3 linked regions of the Daphnia pulex genome follow. The main gene of each other region encodes a partner of the protein of the gene in region 2 in a complex. Links are inferred from orthologs where the notes say so. Each region holds a gene or a part of one and is shown on either strand. Other genes may lie near its edges. The genes, in order: DNA replication ATP-dependent helicase/nuclease DNA2-like, replication protein A 70 kDa DNA-binding subunit-like and cell cycle checkpoint control protein RAD9A-like.

Evidence for each region.
Region 1: the proteins of replication protein A 70 kDa DNA-binding subunit-like (region 2) and DNA replication ATP-dependent helicase/nuclease DNA2-like are in contact, whole or in part, in a crystal structure (PDB 5EAY), measured with the Homo sapiens proteins. The link is inferred for Daphnia pulex from reciprocal best matches to the Homo sapiens genes RPA1 and DNA2. Residues at the interface, in NP_002936.1 of Homo sapiens: Asn29, Ile30, Arg31, Ile33, Arg41, Arg43, Leu44, Leu45, Ser54, Ser55, Met57, Asn85, Leu87, Lys88, Arg91, Val93, Ile95; in NP_001073918.2 of Homo sapiens: Glu6, Leu7, Glu8, Leu10, Met11, Lys13, Ser14, Phe15, Trp16.
Region 3: the proteins of replication protein A 70 kDa DNA-binding subunit-like (region 2) and cell cycle checkpoint control protein RAD9A-like are in contact, whole or in part, in a crystal structure (PDB 8JZY), measured with the Homo sapiens proteins. The link is inferred for Daphnia pulex from reciprocal best matches to the Homo sapiens genes RPA1 and RAD9A. Residues at the interface, in NP_002936.1 of Homo sapiens: Asn29, Arg31, Ile33, Arg41, Arg43, Leu44, Leu45, Ser54, Ser55, Phe56, Met57, Asn85, Leu87, Lys88, Asp89, Arg91, Val93; in NP_004575.1 of Homo sapiens: Asp297, Phe298, Ala299, Asn300, Asp301, Asp302, Ile303, Asp304, Tyr306, Met307, Ile308, Met310.

What each region holds. Positions count from the first base shown.
Region 1 is NC_060028.1:7,929,518-7,936,121, forward strand, and holds the start of DNA replication ATP-dependent helicase/nuclease DNA2-like, read right to left. Parts: upstream 3,754-6,604; 5' UTR 3,441-3,753; coding exon 3,286-3,440; intron 3,220-3,285; coding exon 2,946-3,219; intron 2,876-2,945; coding exon 2,519-2,875; intron 2,451-2,518; coding exon 2,070-2,450; intron 2,005-2,069; coding exon 1,783-2,004; intron 1,716-1,782; coding exon 1,476-1,715; intron 1,410-1,475; coding exon 898-1,409; intron 833-897; coding exon 635-832; intron 591-634; exon of another isoform or gene 441-590; coding exon of another isoform or gene 325-440; intron 254-324; coding exon of another isoform or gene 206-253; intron 124-205; coding exon of another isoform or gene 61-123; intron 1-60. Other genes in the region: cuticle protein 6-like, read left to right, coding at 61-123, 206-253, 325-440; RING finger and transmembrane domain-containing protein 2-like, read left to right, coding at 4,173-4,225, 4,281-4,672, 4,743-4,920, 4,991-5,144, 5,207-5,443, 5,514-5,747; phosphorylase b kinase gamma catalytic chain, skeletal muscle/heart isoform-like, read left to right, coding at 6,238-6,329, 6,402-6,574. UniProt on the Homo sapiens protein: Key enzyme involved in DNA replication and DNA repair in nucleus and mitochondrion.
Region 2 is NC_060017.1:3,018,062-3,024,565, forward strand, and holds replication protein A 70 kDa DNA-binding subunit-like, read right to left. Parts: upstream 4,345-6,504; 5' UTR 4,221-4,344; coding exon 4,176-4,220; intron 4,114-4,175; coding exon 4,063-4,113; intron 3,999-4,062; coding exon 3,744-3,998; intron 3,674-3,743; coding exon 3,459-3,673; intron 3,397-3,458; coding exon 3,234-3,396; intron 3,172-3,233; coding exon 3,067-3,171; intron 3,001-3,066; coding exon 2,901-3,000; intron 2,817-2,900; coding exon 2,704-2,816; intron 2,637-2,703; coding exon 2,502-2,636; intron 2,442-2,501; coding exon 2,178-2,441; intron 2,120-2,177; coding exon 2,036-2,119; intron 1,974-2,035; coding exon 1,904-1,973; intron 1,836-1,903; coding exon 1,711-1,835; intron 1,647-1,710; coding exon 1,539-1,646; 3' UTR 1,359-1,538; downstream 1-1,358. Other genes in the region: ubiquitin-conjugating enzyme E2 L3, read left to right, coding at 388-414, 514-609, 681-809, 932-1,144; ankyrin repeat and MYND domain-containing protein 2-like, read left to right, coding at 4,649-4,831, 4,895-5,060, 5,129-5,268, 5,355-6,011. UniProt on the Homo sapiens protein: As part of the heterotrimeric replication protein A complex (RPA/RP-A), binds and stabilizes single-stranded DNA intermediates that form during DNA replication or upon DNA stress.
Region 3 is NC_060026.1:14,697,990-14,704,250, reverse strand, and holds cell cycle checkpoint control protein RAD9A-like, read right to left. Parts: upstream 3,709-6,261; 5' UTR 3,501-3,708; coding exon 3,467-3,500; intron 3,397-3,466; coding exon 3,173-3,396; intron 3,114-3,172; coding exon 2,949-3,113; intron 2,890-2,948; coding exon 2,786-2,889; intron 2,726-2,785; coding exon 2,501-2,725; intron 2,432-2,500; coding exon 2,238-2,431; intron 2,182-2,237; coding exon 1,862-2,181; 3' UTR 1,690-1,861; downstream 1-1,689. Other genes in the region: squamous cell carcinoma antigen recognized by T-cells 3-like, read left to right, coding at 11-179, 241-396, 456-882, 944-1,091, 1,162-1,254, 1,322-1,650; lipopolysaccharide-induced tumor necrosis factor-alpha factor homolog, read left to right, coding at 4,160-4,253, 4,336-4,403, 4,465-4,559, 4,626-4,734; uncharacterized protein LOC124203995, read right to left, coding at 5,399-5,501, 5,568-5,820, 5,882-6,026, 6,115-6,261. UniProt on the Homo sapiens protein: Component of the 9-1-1 cell-cycle checkpoint response complex that plays a major role in DNA repair. The 9-1-1 complex is recruited to DNA lesion upon damage by the RAD17-replication factor C (RFC) clamp loader complex.

The sequences.
Region 1 (6,604 bases), on a different chromosome or scaffold from region 2:
GTAAGCACAATTCTTGATTCTTTGTCGAGTTTCTCTTGAAACCGTCTATTTTTATCGCAGTTGCTGCCGCACCAATTCCGGTAGCACCTATTCATGTTGCGCCGTCCACCCCGTTGGTGAAGGGTGAGTAATTTTATATTTAAAAATCACCCCCCCCCCTCAAAAAGTACATCATGACTGAGCAATTTTTCTTCAATAAAAACAGTTGAGAAACCGACAGTAGTGAAACATGCTGGAGGCCACGTCGCTCCAGGTAAACCGCTTTTTACATTTTAAATTGTCTTTTTAACAATTAACTTATCCTATTTGAATTATGACACGCAGTTGCACCTGCTCCATTCAGCCCATACAGTTATGCCTACTCGCCTTATCCTTACCCGTCGTACCACTATGCTCCTTATGCTGCTCCTTACGGCTCCGTGGTAGTACGATCTTGGTAGAACGGACCAAAATCTGCCGTAACCAGCATTTCAACCATCACGAACACTTGAATTCCATTAAATTCCCCCTCAAATCATTGCATTCCTACCAGCGTTGACTGAAATCTCGAGTTACCGAGATCGAGAAATACACGTTTTCCATTGAGGAAATTGATTTTAATGCTTAATTTTAGAGAGTAAATAAAAATAATTACTTGGCTGATCGACTTTGGACGACTGGTGGGAGTTGAAGAGGATCGCCAACAAGAACAAATCTTTTGGCTGCAGTAAGTGGTCCGATGACAGCCAGCTGTAAGGCTTGAGCTGCTTCGTCGACAATGCACAAATCGAATCTGCGACGAATTAAAGCTGGATGGCCGACACTTAGGCAAGTTGCAGCTACCACTGGCACGCTGTAATTTTAAACACATAGCAGATTAAAAATTTTGATTAAGAAAAAATAACTCAGTCGATTTACCTGTAAACATTTTCTAACTCTTCCACTGTGTGACAAGTTTGGGTTTTGACTTCGGCACTGTAGGGCAATATGGAAGGGTGGGTGCGATGCTCGCGGCCGATCCGAACAAACTCCACATCATTAAATTGGCAGAGCTTGAGCAAGACGTTGTCGACGGCCGAGTGAGTGTAGCTCGTCAGGAGTACGGACTGTTTAAGCAGGACGGCCAGTCGTATCAAAGCCACAATGAGAGAAGTCTTTCCAGTGCCGGGTAGACCGTTGATAAGGCAATAATCTTCGCAAGTCAGAGCTTTTAGCACAGCTCTTCTCTGGAATCCATTCAAGGGTTTCAAAACGGGCCAGAAAACTTCAAGCAAACTTTTCGGCAAGCCGGCTTTAAAAACAGGAACTTTTTTATCAATGATTAACTCCCGCAGCCGGACGGCATTTGCATTGTTTGCCATCAGTCGACTGAGGTTCGAATATAAGAGCGTTTGGCCGCCTTGATACTCAAGTTTATCCAAGTGGAGGACCTAAACAATGCAAAAGAAAATATTAGCTGTTGCCATTTTTCCAGTGTGACACGATTCAATAAGCACCTCGAAATTTCGATCCCAATTGTGAACATTCCGGTCGGTAGAGACAGTAATAGAACTGGGACTGATGTCAACTAGACAGCCAGTGGCAACGGCCACTTCTTTATCAGTACTGAGCACCACGCTGTCACCTCGTAGCAGTAATGTGTTAATAGGTAGATGACTGCGATTAACCGGAATAAGCTGGATTGTATATTGATTGAAATCTGAGGTAGGATTTTGCGACGCAAGGCAATCTTGAACCTTGAGAAGACATCACAAATGTTTATAACGGAAAAGTGAAAAAAAAAAATAAGAGAAAGAGGAATACCTTAAGAAAACTGATGCAATTTCCCTGAGCTTCTCTATCAACTGGATCTATGCACCAAATATCGCTGATGGAACGAGAACGATGCTGGGATTCTTCAGATTCAAGTCGCAGCATTTTCGACCAATGTAAAAAGTAGTCCTGATATGCAGAACTTAAATGAGCAACCGACTCGAGAGGTAAGGGCGTCGAAGACATGCTTTCATTGTCGGCATCTTCAGCAATCTTTTCGGGAAATATTTATTTTAGTATTGACAAGACATTTTCTACAACAGAATTAAAGATCTTACCTGATAGACGGTGCATTCAACCCGTAATGGACATGAAGCACACATATTCACGCGATCAATTCGTGAAGGAAGTTGACCCTCGGAGATTTCTCCGTTTTCCGAGATCGAGGTAGGCGATGTTAAGTACTTGACCATTTCGTTTCTCAACTGAACGAGACCCTGTTTCTCGCTATGGCCGGCAGGTACGTGTTGGATGGCACCGTCTTTGAGGTAAAGTAATAAACCACCTGGATTTTCATCTGTTGCTTTTTTAACACCGGTCTGCTGGTTCATCATCATTGAATAAAGAGTAACTTGTCCTTTGTGCTCCGCGGAGAAGGACGAACGCCCAGTCTTTAACTCTAAAGGCATCTTGACTCGTCCAAGCTTTTTATCGTTAACCTATTTAAAATTTTAAAATAATTTTGTTAAGAATAAACTTTTTTTAAAAATAGAAATAGGTTTACAACCTTCAGAGTAAAATCCACCTTTCCCTTAACGCCAAGCCATGGAGACCACATATTCTCTTCTATATCACAGACGGAATCGATTTGACCGTCCCACATAGTCGGGGAATTTCCAAACTTCCCGCTTTTTCCGACAACCTGTTGCCTGTTGTCTCTTTTGCTTACTTCGCAGGGTCGAGTTGCATTGATGTACTTATCGATGAAATTTTTGATCATAGGAATGTATTCGGAAACACTGTTTTTCAGATGACTCTTAGGTATATTCGCCCCATATAGATCGTGAATAGTCGAAGGGTCGCTAAGTAATTTGTCAGCTATTTTATTTAGTGAAGAGGTGTCATAAGTTTTTTCTATTAATGCCTAATGCAAATAAAGGCATAAATTCAATATTGATGACACAGTATTAATTTAATAATAAAAAATTGCATACTTTTTGTAAAAGGCGATGGACTATAGTTCCATTGAGCATAACCTGATTTGTAGGCTCAATTCCACGAAATCTTTCAGAAAGCACTGCTTTGCGTTGACAAAAGAGTGAAGAGACAACTGAAGTTCCAGACACTAACAGGTCTGGTTTGACAACGATGAGACCACTTTGTCTATCAACAATAGCCAAGTCATAGTTTTCAAAGTTTTCATCAAATGATTCATACCAATCTGCATGTATATGGACATCATCACCCACTTTGATAGCAGTGTCTAGCCTGAATGAAAACAGACAAAAATTAGAAATTACTCCCATCAGCTAAACCTATCAATTTGATCATTACCAAAAGTCTCTTAGCATGCAAATTTTCTTCGTTTTGTATGTCTCGTCTAATGGGGAAACAACAAGACGCAGTTCATTACCATTTTCAGTCTTGTCGCACTCTAAGACTTTGTGTCTACCAAGACCATAAATATCTTTTTTCGTTGGTTTCTTCATTATTAATTACAACACGAACGCATACAGGACCTAATTTTGTATCTAGTTATGGAATAATAATAATCTATAGTTTTATTTTACACTTTTGACTTGGATCGAGTAAGTTGCAGAAGTAGTCATGCGGGATTCACGACTGCACGTGAGTTCAATTCGCGCCAAATCACAAATGTTTTGTCAGAAAGCGGCAGACAATTTAGTTACCTACACACCCGCAAAATACTAAGTGCGCCATCTGAGAAACCTTTAAACCAATAATATTTTGGCGTATCCACTTCCGACCTGCAGGTGGCGTTAAAAATCGTGAAAAAAACAACAAAAATTCACCATTCACCATTACTAGATAAACTGATGCAAGTTTTTCAAGACTGAACTAGTGCGTGTCACGTAAAAGACTCAAACTAAATAAAATTAGCTGACGTATAAGTTTATCTGTGCCAAAGTATTTCGTAACACGATTTAATCTATAAAACTTGTGACTTTGGCCTGTTTTCGGCATTTACACAGTTTACTTGTTTGTATATGTTTATGATCATCTGACCCTTAACGGAAAAGTTGAAGTACCGAGTTATCTACTGCAAGATTCGCCGAATAGGAATATCAATTGAGGGGAATGAAAAGTTTTGGTGCATGAGTGTGATTTATATGCAAAAAGAGGTAATTCAATATTTGTTTTTCAAATGGGATGAATTCTTAACTGACCTACAAATTTCTAGGCTGACGCAGTTTGAAAACATGGGAAGTAGACCACCACCTCCTAGTCCTCCATTTCAAATCACATTTGGGAGGTAGTATGTTTACTTCCTGATTCCTTAACTTTGCCTTACATGTTTTATGATTTAGTCCTTCCTGGAGATTTCAAATACAACAAGGCAATAATCAGCAAATAGTTCTCTCACAATGGCTGCAAGGTCAGCGATCACAGCAAGGACGTCAAGGAGAAAGTCTAACAGAACCTCCTGGTCAAGGACAACCAGTCAACAGTATTGAAACTACTGTAGACATATCTGGTTCAGATAATCCAGTTTCAAACCAATCACCTTCAAATGAACAGACTATTCCTTCCACCCCGCCTACAACTCAGGCCACCCCCAATGTATCAACTAATCCATTCTCAGCAATCAACCAATTTTTGGAACAGAATCCAGAAATGTATGGTGTTCTGCAGACACTTCTAGCTTACATTCCTTTTTTAATCCTAATTTTATTTAAGGAAATTTACAAACATACTTCAGGTAAATAGAACAATTTTTATTATATAACTGTGCTCACATGTATATTAATTAATCTTGTCATTTTTCTTAGATATACTTGTTATTCTGGCTTTGGTCGTGACTTTTATCCATGCTGATAGAACTGTACAGAGGGAAGTTTCTAAGCAAGGGAAGAGAGAATTGAAACCTTTAGGAATCATAGCTCTAAATATTGTTGCGTGCGTGTTACTTGTGCACTTTTTGTGCGGCGACAATGAATTATACCACAGGTTTGTCTAAAAAAGAAATGTATGTTTGATTTCATAATAATACCAATTTATTTGTTTATGTTTATGTTAGTCTTTTGGTTTTCATGCCTAACTCCGCTCCAATAACACTAGCCAATTTATTTTGGGCCGTGACGACAACCGACCATATTTTGAAACTAGCTACTGTTCTTTTCAAAGGCATTCTTACCGCCATTCCAATTGCCGTGTTTCCTATCTCTCGACGGGTGAGAAAACTAAATTTTTTAATGTTTTATTGTTGCTGAACGATTTTCTTTATTGTTTCCAGGGAAAATGCTTCGCTTTCATCGAAAGATCTTCTCACCTCTACCGAGCCCTAGCAGCAGTACCACCATGGATTCACTACCTTCTTAACAGTCAGTCGAGTGAAAGTTCAAGCATTTTCTTCTATGATACGCTCGTTGGAGTCTGTTTGTGTGGGATATATTTAACCTGTAAAGCTTATAGAGCTATCAAGCTCGTCAGAAAATGGAAGCTTTCAGTTTCAAAACTGCTTCAAAGCACGGTAAGATCGAACCATCGTCATTTCACTCATTATTGGAATGTAATATTTTTTCTTTTTCTTAATAATTCAGCGCTATGGGGCTCATCCTTCCAATGAACAACTTCAGAACGCAGGCCCTATGTGTCCCATCTGTCACGATGGATACAGGAAACCAATCTTTCTTTCATGTAAACACATCTTCTGCGAAGACTGCTTGTCCATGTGGTTGGATCGAGAAAGAACATGCCCAATGTGTCGTTCAACGGTAGCCGAAGATCCCAAATGGAAAGACGGCAGTACCTCATATCTTGTCCAACTTTTCTGAGTTACTTACATGGTTGTTCATTCACCTTAACACCGATGCCTCATATTATATATTCAAAATTTCAAATGTATTAAAAGGTTGCGACTTTTGTGATCCTAACGTTGGGCGAATCGTACAAGTCTGAAATCTGTTCTTGTGTAATGTAAAAACAAAGAAAGAGGATGTTGTTGTTGCTTGGTTTTTACACAATATATTTTTTTCCACTGAAAGAGCGAATAATATGGCATCAGAGAGATAAAGAGTCGCTAAAGTGATATACTTAAAATGCTATTTTGCTTGCTATGCTATGCTAAACCTGAAAGGAAAAATAAAGTTTTGATCATAGATGTCGTTGACTTGCTTTCGTTTTCGTTGACTATTTTTGCTTTTGTTTTGCTCACGACTACGTAACAGACGACCTTTAAGAGACCCTTCAAGTTCACGTTGTTCTCGTCCATTGATTAAGGTTGGATAGATAAATTGTAAAAATTAGTTCGTTTTGTAAGTTGTGATGGCGAGAGACGAAACAGACGACACTCTCCCTTCACAAGATGTGGCGAAAGAATTTTACGCCAAGTACGAGCCCAAGGAGATACTTGGAAGGTGCGTCCATGCATGTCCACATTTTACCCCCATTGATACATTTTAAACATTGTCATACATTTTTTATTTTAGAGGTGTGAGTTCCACTGTGAGGAGGTGTGTGGAAAAAGAAACTGGGCGCGAATATGCGTGCAAAATCATGGACATTAATGGTGATCCTTCTGAAATAGAAGGACCTGCCATGAGAGAAGCTACTCTAAGAGAGATTGCTATTTTACGCAGAGTAGCTGGACATCCTTATATCAGTAAGAATTTTTGGGAAATGTTATAGACAA
Region 2 (6,504 bases):
CATTTTTATCTCTTTATTTGATGTTGTTATTACGGCTCTTTATTTAAATGACAGAAAGACAAGATTTTTTTTTACCTTACTCTGAAGTCTGAACTGTGCACAGCAAAATATTACGCGCATGCGCTTTTGTTTGGTTATTCCAATTTTGAAAAAATCGTATTTCAGGAAACATTTTTTCACTTAAGATGGCTCTGTATGCGGTACTTTAACTTACGTGCTTTGTGTATGGCCTTGAAATCTACGAGGCCAACACAAGTTTGCAAGCAGGCAAGCAGCCGTTCACAGCAGCTCTTTTGTGGAAGTAACTTCAGATATTAGTAGTAAATAATTTCAATAAATCGCTAAGTAGAGTAATATTTCAGTAATTGATTGATTGATTAAATTGAAATGGCGGCAACTAGAAGACTTCACAAGGTGAGTTGAAAGTTATCTATATTGCATCACAAATTCATAATCTGTAGTGATAATAATTCATCTGTATAAACATTTAATGTATTCTCTGTGTGGTCAAAGGAATTGGAAGACATCAAGAAGTCTGGGTTGAAATCTTTTCGCGACATTCAAGTTGATGAACAAAACATTTTGACTTGGCATGGACTTATTGTTCCTGTGAGTCTGAATTTTTTAGATGAATATTGATTGAATTACCTTGGTTACAAGCCATCATATATTTTTCATAGGAAAATGCTCCCTACAATAAAGGAGCTTTTCGGATTGAAATAAATTTCCCTGCTGAGTATCCATTCAAACCACCAAAAATTGCGTTCAAGACAAAAATCTATCATCCAAATATTGATGAAAAGGGACAGGTAAAAATTTCAATGTTAACCTTGTAAATATCTTATTTGTCTGGCAATTTCTGTTAGGTCTTAAAAACATTTGCCTTTTGGAATTTTTGCCATACTTATTATTGTGTGTTTATTTCTTTCAGGTCTGTTTGCCCATAATAAGTGCTGAAAACTGGAAGCCTGCCACCAAAACTGATCAAGTGATACAAGCGCTGGTTGCCTTGGTTAATGATCCAGAGCCTGAACATCCACTTAGGGCTGATCTTGCTGAAGAGTATTCCAAAGACAAAAAGAAATTCATGAAGAATGCAGAAGAGTTTACAAAAAAAAACAGTGAGAAGAGACCAAGTGATTAAATGTTTTCTGTTTTCATCATAAACACTTGAGAAGAGGCAGAGTTAAAATTTTGAACTGGTCCCCCCTCTTTCCCTCTTCACTTCATTGTAGAGCAGTGAGAGCTGCACTGTGATCTTCATTTATTTTCATTTCTATCTTTGCCTCTCTTGATGGTTGAAATATTTCATTGCACATGAGCTGCGAAAAACAATACATTTGCAGTTGTCTGAAAAATTATTTTTTGTAATATCCATGTTTATTTTGCAAATCATTTATTATCATGTTACACACACGGTTTTTCCGGGATCTCGATTTGATTCACAAGAACAGGAATTCATAAAGAATTGTTCCTGTATAATCCGAAAATGAAGGTTTTTTATAAGTTTAATAGATAAGGAGCAAGGGAAAATCCATTCATTCTGATGCAGCCATTTCTTTCATTTCTCGAATCAATCGCTCGTTGTGCTCTTTATAGTTGATTTCCTTCACTTCATAGACATTTGTTTTGAGGCGGCTTTCATCCTAAAGAAAAGGTAAAAGCGTCAACAGATAACAAGATCGAAATTCATAATGCTCATAGACTTACATTGTACGTCTCCATTTTCACTCTCAGGCGGAAGACATACCACTTAAAAGTAGCTTCTTCGAAAATTTTCTGAAATTCGTTATTATCCGAATCCTTCAATCTACCGACCTCGTCTGCGGATTTCCCTAAAATTTATAATCAAATAAATAAATATTATATGCTAAACGTAACATTAGTTCGAAAACAAAATTACCAAGAAGAGTTTCAGCGGTTTCTTGGAAGCAGGTTACCCATTGCTGGTCCGTGGCATCCGCGATATTGACCTATAACAAATTTCGAGTGCTGTTTTGAGAGAAATAGATTTCATAAAATATCTTTGTCATACCGAAAGCATCATGCGCCATTTGAATTCCTGGAATTCGCGCTGGCATTTCTCACATCGATAGAGGCCATTGTTTTGATCGATGACCTGCGGGAAACGCAAATATTGTCAAAAATGAGTTGTTTTATTATATATTTATGTTTACCTTTTTGTTGCATTCATCACTGGGACAAGCCATGTACAACGCTCTTTCTTTGTTGATCATAGCAACCATAGCCTTAACACTGTAGAAATCAGGTTTATCTTTTCCCAGGTTTTCGAATTTTGCTTCAGCGAAAGTCTTATACGACCCACCACTACCACCAGTGCCAGCGCCACGACTCGCCGAAATGCTAGAAGCGGCCGATGATGAGCCACCGTTATCGTACCACCCTCTTAGTTTGTGAGCTTCATTCATGTCAGGATTGATCTATTAAAAATATGCGCTGTAGAATAGTAGAGAAATAGAAAGTCTTACATTTGATTTTACCTGCACGACAGTAGACGAGACTGTTCCTAGAGAACGACCTCCAAAATCAGAAAGTTTCACTCCTTTTAATGCTACAACAGGCTGGGAGCTAGCGTCAAATTCCTCGCCCATTTTTCCCCATAAAGTCAAATTAACCTGATGTTTGAAGACAAGAATGATTAATTAACTGGGCTCGACAATTAAACGAAGAATCCAGTCATACCTCTGTGTTGGTACTGTCCACCATCTGAACTTCTCGCATCCTCAATTCTTTATTTGTCGTTTTGGAAACGATAACGCGGACGTCATTTGCTGACTTAACCACACCAATGACATCTGAAAGCACGGTCAATCGGTCATATCGTAGGCACCATTCAAATAGAAGAATTGTAATGTTAATGCACCTAAAAGACAACTTACCAATAACACTGTCCTTGTCCAGGCTAGGTAGCTGATCAATGGGAACAAAGTTGAAGGAGATTGATGGGATATCTGATGTATCATCGTGGCAAGGAATTACCTAAAAAATAAGTAAAAGAAAAAAAAATTGAGGCTGGTACGATTGACGATTGAAAAACATTCATACTGTAGTATTTTGGTTGAACGACATTTCATAATCGTTCCTCATACTGCTGTACTGTTTGTTTGCTGCCTTCAGTTGTGCTTGTGAAATGTAAAAGATCTTGCCGATCTACAACGAAAAATAACAATGTAAATAAATAACTTCAAACACTGTTTTTGAATTAAATGTACCTCAATCATGTGGTAAAACTTGTCACACTCGGCATTGAATGCAGTGGCACGGATTTCACCAGTCTCATCCACCATGTCCATCGAGAAAAGCTTTCCTTCACCTCGAGAATTGCTCCACGTACGGATATCGGACTTGTTTATAATTCTCACTTTTACAGTCCACCTACAAACAAGCAAAGTTAATGATTCAATTTTTCTTGTACTGAAATTTCTCAACAAACATACTTGTTTTGGTAGGGTGTAAGGCTTACAATCGGATGGGTAATAATGTCAGACTTCTCTGTTGGCTGTCCATATCCACCAGTTTTGTTAGGTGGTGCAGACTTCGATCCCATATTGTAATTGTTCACATTTCCTAAAGGTGCAGGTTTTGCTGCTGCCTCTTCAGTAACCTCTCCAACATCATTAAGAGTCTGAGGGTTTCCTATTTTTTCTCCAACCTAAACAAAAAATGTTCAAAATGAAGAGATATCCTTATTTGTATTTCGAAACTAAGTAAAGTGAACATACTTCACTTCCAGGCACAATTGGCTCAACATCCAAAAGAATGATAATTTTCTTTTGGTCCTTGCCTGCAGTTGCCTTAGTAGCAACTTTGTTAACAACAAACTTTTTTACTCTAATGATGGTAAAGTTCTCAAGCTGACCATCCACAATCAGATGATTTAGTTGTGTTGCCAACATTCCATATGCATAGGAATACTTTCCATCAGAGATGAGAATTCTGTAACGGTCATTATTGTCTCCCTGAAGATTTTTGTAACCCTATTGTAAGAGAAGAAAATGTAAAAATGCTGCAAATGAAGAAAAAATCTTGCTCGTTGCTTACCAAAACTTGTAGAATTGGAGTTTCATTGTGCAGGCCATTCCCAATGATGGACTATGTCGAAATAAAGATATTTATAGTTTTATTCAAAAATTCGAAATTATGATTGATATTACCGGAATTGCGCCGCTGGTTAGTGCTGGGTGATTTCTTCTGTTCATTTTACGGAACCTTTTTTAACGGGGATTACTTCGTTCAGTCAACGTGCTTGAATTTTTTTAAGCAGTTTTTACGGACAAGACGACGAAGTGCGATGGCGGGAAAACAACAGTGGTACAAACGAAACCAAGGCTGAACGTGCAGCGTTGAATGTTTAAGAAACTTTTTAACTCAATGAAGACCACTAAAAATATAAAGAAGAAAAATAATGAAAAAGTTTTTTTTCTGAAATAAAGGTTCATACGAAGCAAAAATAAGTTTTCGTTTTATTCGCATTTTTGGCGTTGTTGGATTTTTTGTTTTTCGAAATGTCCGGTTGTTATAGCAACAGTTGCAGACGACAACGGAAACTATATCGTTATATGAAAATTTGTGACTGAATTATTTGATTTCCTTCAAAAACGAGTTAATTGCCAAAGAATCTCGAAAAATGATTTCGGAAAACTTTATTAAAGCTATTGACAAGATTAACAACAATGATACTAGTGGTTTGCAAGAACTTATAAAATCCCGGGACGTTGAAATTGACGATGAGGATGAGCATGGAATGACATTACTGCAACATGCCGCTTTTAAAGGGAAAAAAGATATTTGCCAGTTGCTCCTTGACCTGGTAAGTCTAACTATATTATCAATGTTGTTAATTTGATTGAAAAGTTGACTTTTTTTCTCGAAGGGAGCTGATGCCAATGGAGGTCATCATGAACACAAGTATACTTCCCTTCATTTTGCAGCTCTGTCTGGAAATTTGGATATTTGTCAACAATTACTTCAGTGTGGTTGTAAACCTGATGTGGTTAACTCAGTAGGCAGAACTGCAGCTCAAATGGCTGCATTTGTAGGTAGGCTAGTCAATCATAATGTTTGTACAAATCATCCAAAACTAAAATGAATTATTTTGGCAAACCAGGGAATCACACAGTTGTTTCCATCATCAACAATTTCATTCCACGCTCAGAAATAGAGCAGTACACTGTAGCTCCTAGCGATCAAACTGAGCCAAAATTGCCACCAGCTGCTGCACCAGCTTTGCACAAATTTGTGATGCAGGTTGTGCACTTGAATAGACACATCACTTCATTTCTTATTCTGCCACGGAAAAGCACTTGAACTTTTTGTTTTGTTTGATTTATCAGGTCAATCTGCATCCAGTTCACCTTTTGTTGACTATTCAAAAACTTCCTTTGCTTTACGATAACCTCACAAAAGTGAAAAACGTCTTGGAGATACTTAGCGAAAATCAGATGAAGCGCAGCCAAGAAGTCAACGAGATCCTCGCACTTAAATACCACTATTTGCGTTTCCTAGTCGAAAGAATGGCCAAAGAGCAGCAGCAGCACCCCGACAAAACCGTTTTGGAGTTATTAAATCAATATGTTAAAGCATTTTTGAAGCAACGTCAATCCGATGGTTTTCCCGAGTTTATGGACAACTTCATCCGCGAGTCGATCCGCACTTTCCCTTTCAAGGAGACGACCATCTTCCGCCAGTTGCTGGTCAATCTGTCCAAGACAAAAGAGGAGACTCCACTAGCTCTCAATCTTCTCACTTCCTGCATCAACGGTCAGCGTGGATTTCAAGATGACGACGCCTGTGCCACTTGCGGCCAAGAGAAGGTAGCCAGCAAGTGTTCCATATGCAAATCTGTGCAATATTGCAACCGCGATTGTCAAAAGTTGCACTGGTCTATCCACAAAAAGGAGTGCGACAAGTTGGCCAAGCAATTTAAAAATTTGGAAATTAAATCTCAAGACTCCGAGGCGAAGGCTGCCGATCCGGAAACCAGCAAATAGAAATTTTGATTATGTGGGGGTTTTTGCATGATCGAATTCGATGTATGTTCACCCCGTACGTTTCCTTTTTAATCTACAATTGTCTACAGCGGACCCCTGTTTGCTTCCATATTTAGCTAACCTATTCAGTTGTCCAGTCTTTTACACTGTACGTGCGGTCCCATTGTTTTTATATCGTGAAAAATCTGCTTTGAATGGCCCCCATGTTATCGTCGCATTCATCCCACACAAATACAAACCTTGTCATGCCTCATTTCTAGTGTATTTCTTTTCTTAGACTAAAAAACCAGCCACTAGATGGACATTGTTCTCTTGTGGCCCTCCTCATCCACATATTGCTACACTAAATCTTCAAATGTCTACCCTTCACTAAGAAATATTTCCCTCTCACCTCAAAACAAGGAAATACAAATTACGCGAAACCAATCGCTGGTTTTTAATCGACGAATGATAATTGAAAACTTGTTGTAAGAATTTATCGTATAGTTTAAAG
Region 3 (6,261 bases), on a different chromosome or scaffold from region 2:
TGTTTTGTAGCTTATGATGTCGAAGGAGACCCGGAGTGTACACTGCTACAATATTGGGCATATTTCGAAGCAAAAAAGCTGAATAATATGCCTAAAGCTCGAGACCTCTGGAGCAAGATTATAAGCCGGGGACACAGTAAATCTGCTCAGTGGTGGCTGGCTCGTGTTCAGTTTGAAAGGTTATTGATCTAATTAGTTAATTCTATTAGAGTTATATTAACACAATGCTTATTATAACAGAACACACGATAACAATAAAGAAGAAGTCCGCAAATTATTTACGAAGAGTCTAAATGGAGTCTCTTCGTCCGATTGGCCAGAGTTGATCGTTAAGCAATGGCTGCAATTTGAACGCGAAGAAGGAGACTTACAAACCATGGATATCGCTAAACAGAGGTCTGAAAAATAATTTAAAGCTTTTGAAAATTTTGATTTTAATTGTTTAAATATGCCAGGTGTGAAGCTCGGATGAAGAAGGTTAATAAAGAAAGAGAGGGGCAAACGGTTCAAGAAGTAGAAACGGCTAAAGGTAGGAAACGAGGAAAGATTGAAGATGCGAAAGAATCGAAACCCGTGCCTGCCAAAAAACCTAAAATAAGCCATGATGCCGCAGCAACTAGTACGAAAGTTGTTCCCAAAAAGAAAGTTGAACCTAAAGTAAACGCCACCGAACCTGCTAGCAAGCCCGTTGTCATTCCTAAACCGGTTACCGATCCTTCCCGTCATGCCAATACGGTCTTTTTAAGCAATCTGGCCTACGAAACATCTGAACAAGATGTACGCAACATGATGAGTTCTTCCGGCACCATAACGGACATACGTCTTGTTCTGGACTACAAACAACGTTGCAAAGGATTTTGTTTTGTCGAATTTTCTTCACAAGTAAACTTCCATAATTAAATTTCCTACGCTTGTCCGTTAAATTCATTTAAAACTATCTTAGGATGAAGCGAGAGCAGTTCTGAAGCGGGACCGTGAGCTCATGAAAGGACGACCGGTTTTCATGTCTCCAAGCGAACCGGACGCAGCATTGAAGCATCCAGCTTTCAAGTACCAGTCAACATTAGAAAAGAAAAAACTGTTTATCAAAGGTACGTATTTGCGATCTTTAGGTACGAGCTTAATTTGTTTTTATCCCAAATCTATTTGATGTTATAACAGGCTTAGCTTTCACTACTACTAAAGAAGACTTGGAAGCTCTGTTTAAAAAATTTGGAATTCTGAAGGACGTTCGATTAGTAACGTTACGGAACGGTAGCGTTTAATAATCTAAATTAAATTTATTTTTTCTTTACTAACTTCTATTTAATTAAATATAAAGGAAAGCCCAAAGGTCTGGCTTACGTTGAATTCGAAGATGAAGTTTCAGCGACGATGGCTATGAACCAGACAGACGGAACTACATTCCAGGACAAAGTTTTGACGGTTGCGTTAAGCAATCCACCTCCACGTCGCGAAGACAGAAACCTGGACAAGGATGAACTATCTTTGGGTGGCGGAACACGGGTAAGGAGAACGCAAGTGTCGTTTGTTCCAAACGCCGTCCTTCGCCAGACATCTCAGTCTTCCACCATGCCGCCACCCGTCAGTGTTCCCGCCAGTGCTTCGAAGAGCAATGCCGATTTCCGGTCCATGCTTCTAAAGAAATAATTTGAAAATGACATTGAAATGGCACGAATAAATAAAAAATGGACTGATCAACATTTAATGGCACTTTAACTTTTGTGATCATTATATAGGATACAGTGATGTACCGTTACAAAATTCTGACACAAAACAATACTGAGTTAACTCGGCGAAAGAAAAATGTACAAAATCGTTGGATGAGGGGAAAGCCGGGAAAGGGTTATTTCGTCTCTTGCTATTCATCTTCCTCTGAATCCGGAGCAAAGACTTCAGTTGGTCGCTCTCTGTATTCTTGTGTTAACTTGAGACAATTCTGAAATATGTAGCGAGCCCGAGCTCTCTTATTAGGAGGTGGTTGAATTTCGGGTTCCAAATCTACTTCCATATCAGGAAACGGATGGGGCTCGATAAGAGATAGACTGTTAAGACGTGGGGTATGATCCTCGTTAACAGGCGTTTGTCGTATCAAAGGTGTGTGTAAACGAGTGTGTGTCGTGCTTGCACGAGAACCGTTCCTAGAATCGACCAAATTGGCACGCGAAATGGTCCTGGAATCTAGAAAATTCACGAGGAGAGCAATGTATGTCAAGATCCTGACTTCCCTTTCAAGCCTGTTTTGTTACCTGTTTTATTCCTCAGGGTAGGGACAGGAGACGGATGGTTGGAGGTATTGCCTTGTACTGACATTTCGTGTTTGGCAGTTCGCGAACTAATGGATGCCGTAGTGTCCAGAGCAGGCGTTAGAGTTGCAAGGAGAAAATCTGCTGAATACAAGTCATCCTTTTGTAGACTGAACAAAACAGGCCTGGTAGAAGGAATTCCGTAAATAATCGATGCAACTTTTGAATCACAAGTAAAATGAAATATTGCTTACTGTCCGGCGCCTTCCATTCGACAATCAAGATCGAGTTTCAGGGCTTCTGCGAAGGCCAAAATAGCTCGTAATTCCTTCAAGCAAAATGTAACTTGAGTACACAGAGCGACGTTAAATTCAATGAATTCATCCTTGACCAACGTGACTTCCGTACGAACACATTTGGATGGGTCTATTTCATCATCAATATGGTTACTCAAATGTACTTGATCCATTGCAAGGGACCTTGAAAGAATAAACGAAATTTGAGGTTATTTAAACATGACAATTATGTTGTTGGATTACCAAGTAACTTCTTGAGTGCTTGAATGAAAACTTTGAAGAGTTTCATTGTAAAAACGTGAAGAGCAGGAAAATTTACTGGGGTAACCCTCCTTAGAGAATTCTGCCTATGAATTTTTAGGTTATTTTCATTAAAAGTCTGGCGAGACCAAATCAAAGGACTTACTTCAACACTTTCACATTCAAAGTATCTTAAGTTGAAGTACTTAACAATTCCATGTTTGCACCTGAACTCAATGATTAACAGAGCCTCAAGAAGTGGTAGCATTATCTTACATGTTTCAACTGATTTTTCCAAGCTTCCGATCGACCTAAATACAGACAAGATGGACTGGAAACAAAACATCATTGTAAACACACAATACTTCACATTAAAGTTATTTGTCAGACCTTCATGGGAAGTTTACATTTAATCACAGTATCTTCTTCTGGATCAGCGTGAACAGTATTTTCACTTATGTGCGTGTAGTCAAGAAAAAAAGGTAGGTGAAAATTGAAAGCTGAATAGGCAGATTTGGAAGCATTGACGGTCTTCAGAGTTAATCCATTTTCCATTGGTGAAATGTGCAATTCATCACCTATCTTAGCCAATGAGTGTATGGCTCGCGCCAAAACTAAAGAATAAAAGAAAGTGTTTTAGCTTTCAACTGCTTTAGTACAATCAAATGAAACATCATGTCGTACCCTTAACACTGGTTGCATCCAAAAGACATTTCATTTTTCTTTACTTCAATGTAAATTTAGTTGTTTGCACTAAAAAAAAATTCGAAATGCCGCCAGAAATTATATCGGTAACCCCATGTCCCGGATAACACGTTTAGAATGTTTAGCACGCAGACGACACGGAAATGAATTTTTTCAAGTATGCCCCGATTGGCTGTTGAGATTTTATCTTCACTGAAGATGTAAACAAATGAAACAAGTGACGAGCGTGACTCGTATTATTTCGGCCACATCTGCAAGTCACTGAAACTTGATTGTACTTTTAACCATAGATAAAGAAGACGGTCTTATCTGCTGAGGTACTTCAAGGAAATTTTTTTTCCCCTTGATTTATCAATGGTTTTCAATTATAACATTCTGAAACATTGGAAGACTTTCAATTACATCAGCTTTTCCGCTGTCCAATTCCTGCTGATTACATTCTGAAAAGTCATGGGGCGGAGCTTAAGAACAGCTGTGTAGTGTTAACTAGAGCACAGAGTGTAAACGTTTGTGAATAACTTACTTGTACTGCATGACTTTCTAAGGTAATAACAAATAAAATTTAAACTCTTTCATGATTCAGAATACAAAACATTGAAGTTAATGTTGGTCTGATATTCTGATTACCAATTTACCAATAATTCATTGGATTCTCCATAAACTATTTCACAGATGAGTAAACAAGGTCCTCCTCCAGCTGCCCCTCCTTCTTACATGGAAGCAGTGGGTGGTGTTAATCCATCAAGCCCCTTTACTCCTCATCAAAGTAAAGCATTTTTTTAGTATTTTAACTTTTAATGGGAAATGTGCCTCACATTCAAAATCACAATGTTTATCTCTTTTAATAGATGTAACCAACCAGCAGCCTATTATTGTGACAACCGTGATACCTGTTGGACCCGGAACAACACACACTGTTAGTTTTTCCCTCCACAGTTAATTATATATTTTATTTTCTCTATCTTCTTTCTTTACAGGTCTGTCCACATTGCCATGCTGAAATTGACACTTCTGTGCGTACTGAACCTGGTCTGATTGCCTGGCTTTCTGGAGGTCTTTTAGTTCTATTTGGGTATTACACAGTCAGCAATTTCTTAAGAGTTACACATTGATATAACACATATATTTTTATTACCAGATGTTGGTTGGGCTGTTGCCTTATCCCCTGCTGTATTCCTGAGTGCATGAATGTTCATCATGCTTGTCCAAATTGCAAAGCATACTTGGGGAGATACAGCCACTTTTAAGCTAATGTTCTTACTATGAAGAGGCAATTGGTTCTTTCTGTGTGTTAAATTTCATATTCATTTTTGGCAAATTTGGTTGTTGCATCTTGTATGCCAAAATTTACCTTTTTCCTAATTACACGAAGCTTTTCAATTTCAAAATTTCAAACAATAGAAATGCTGAACGTTGTATTATTCGTACCTTGCTTCAATATCTACTCCGCTTACTTATTAAAATCAAAGATACGCCGTGTTAATTTTATCACCAAAATTTATCAATGAATAAACTTCGAATATATTAAAATTGTCGTTTGTAATTTAAATTTTAAATTCATTGAAAAACGTTTTGTTCGACTGGGACAAAAAACCTATATTCCTTTTCTTAACTGAATTTTTTTAAATTAATTTGAATCTTGCAGTGCCGTAGTTTATTAATTATTTTTATGCTGCTCGTTAAATATATAGAAAATGTTATTCCTATGGAAAAAAGTTAAAAAAGAACCAAAACGATGCTTATTAAATGTTTCCCGCTATTTCATAGATACAAACAACATGGTTTTGGGGATTAACCTACCCATTAATAGAAGCGCAGTAAGAAACAAATGACAGGAAATGGTTGGATTTCTATCAAAGTATTTAATTATCATGACAGAAATAATCTTACAATATAAACAAAACGTAACTTTTATACATCCAAATCGCTTAATTTTCTAAAGTCCGTTTTTGTATCTCTCAGTGTTAGTTCTTGGCCAAGCCGAGTAATCGATTGCGACATCATATTCTGGCATCTAAAACAGAAAATAATTTATTTCGACCTAGACAAAGAGTTTTTTTTTTAAATAACGCAGACATACTCCTCCATGATTCCAATTTGCATAGCAGTAGTTCCGTTTAGATCAGAAATTACGCTTGCGGCTTTAATAAACTCATCAAACTTTTCCACCTGAATGTTATCGGATAGAGTTGTGCTGTTCTTAAAAACTTTGATCAATTCATCTGTTTCTTCTTTTTTAAATTCATTGATATCAATTAGACGAATCTGATGGCGATAGATGTCCAAACCATCTGCTAGCTCTTTAACTTTAGGGGTTACAGTACTTAGTGCATCTGAATACAAATGCAAACCAAGATTCAAGAATGTCTCTAGTATGTGAACATTTTGACAAACCTGTTGTTTGCTTCACAATTGGTTCCAATACTTCAATCTGAGAAGTGAGTTCCAACCGCATTTCTTCAAGTCTCTTCCTTTCCTTGATTTGGGAAATTTTGTTTTCCTTAATTTTGATCAAATTCCAGAGGTCTTCCATTTGTTCCTGAAACCATTTTCAATTAAAATGTTAGGAGTGTTGTTAAAAAATTAAATAAGAGTATACATTAATGTTATAATCGTATATTGTTTACCTTGCATTCTGCCAACACTCTGTCTTTAGATTCTTCAATTTGATTATTTAGGAAATGTTGCTGTTGATACATCATGTACATCAATGTAGCTTGCTCTTCAGTAGACAATTTTGTTCTTGATTGGGCTAATTTCTTTTCAGCTAATGT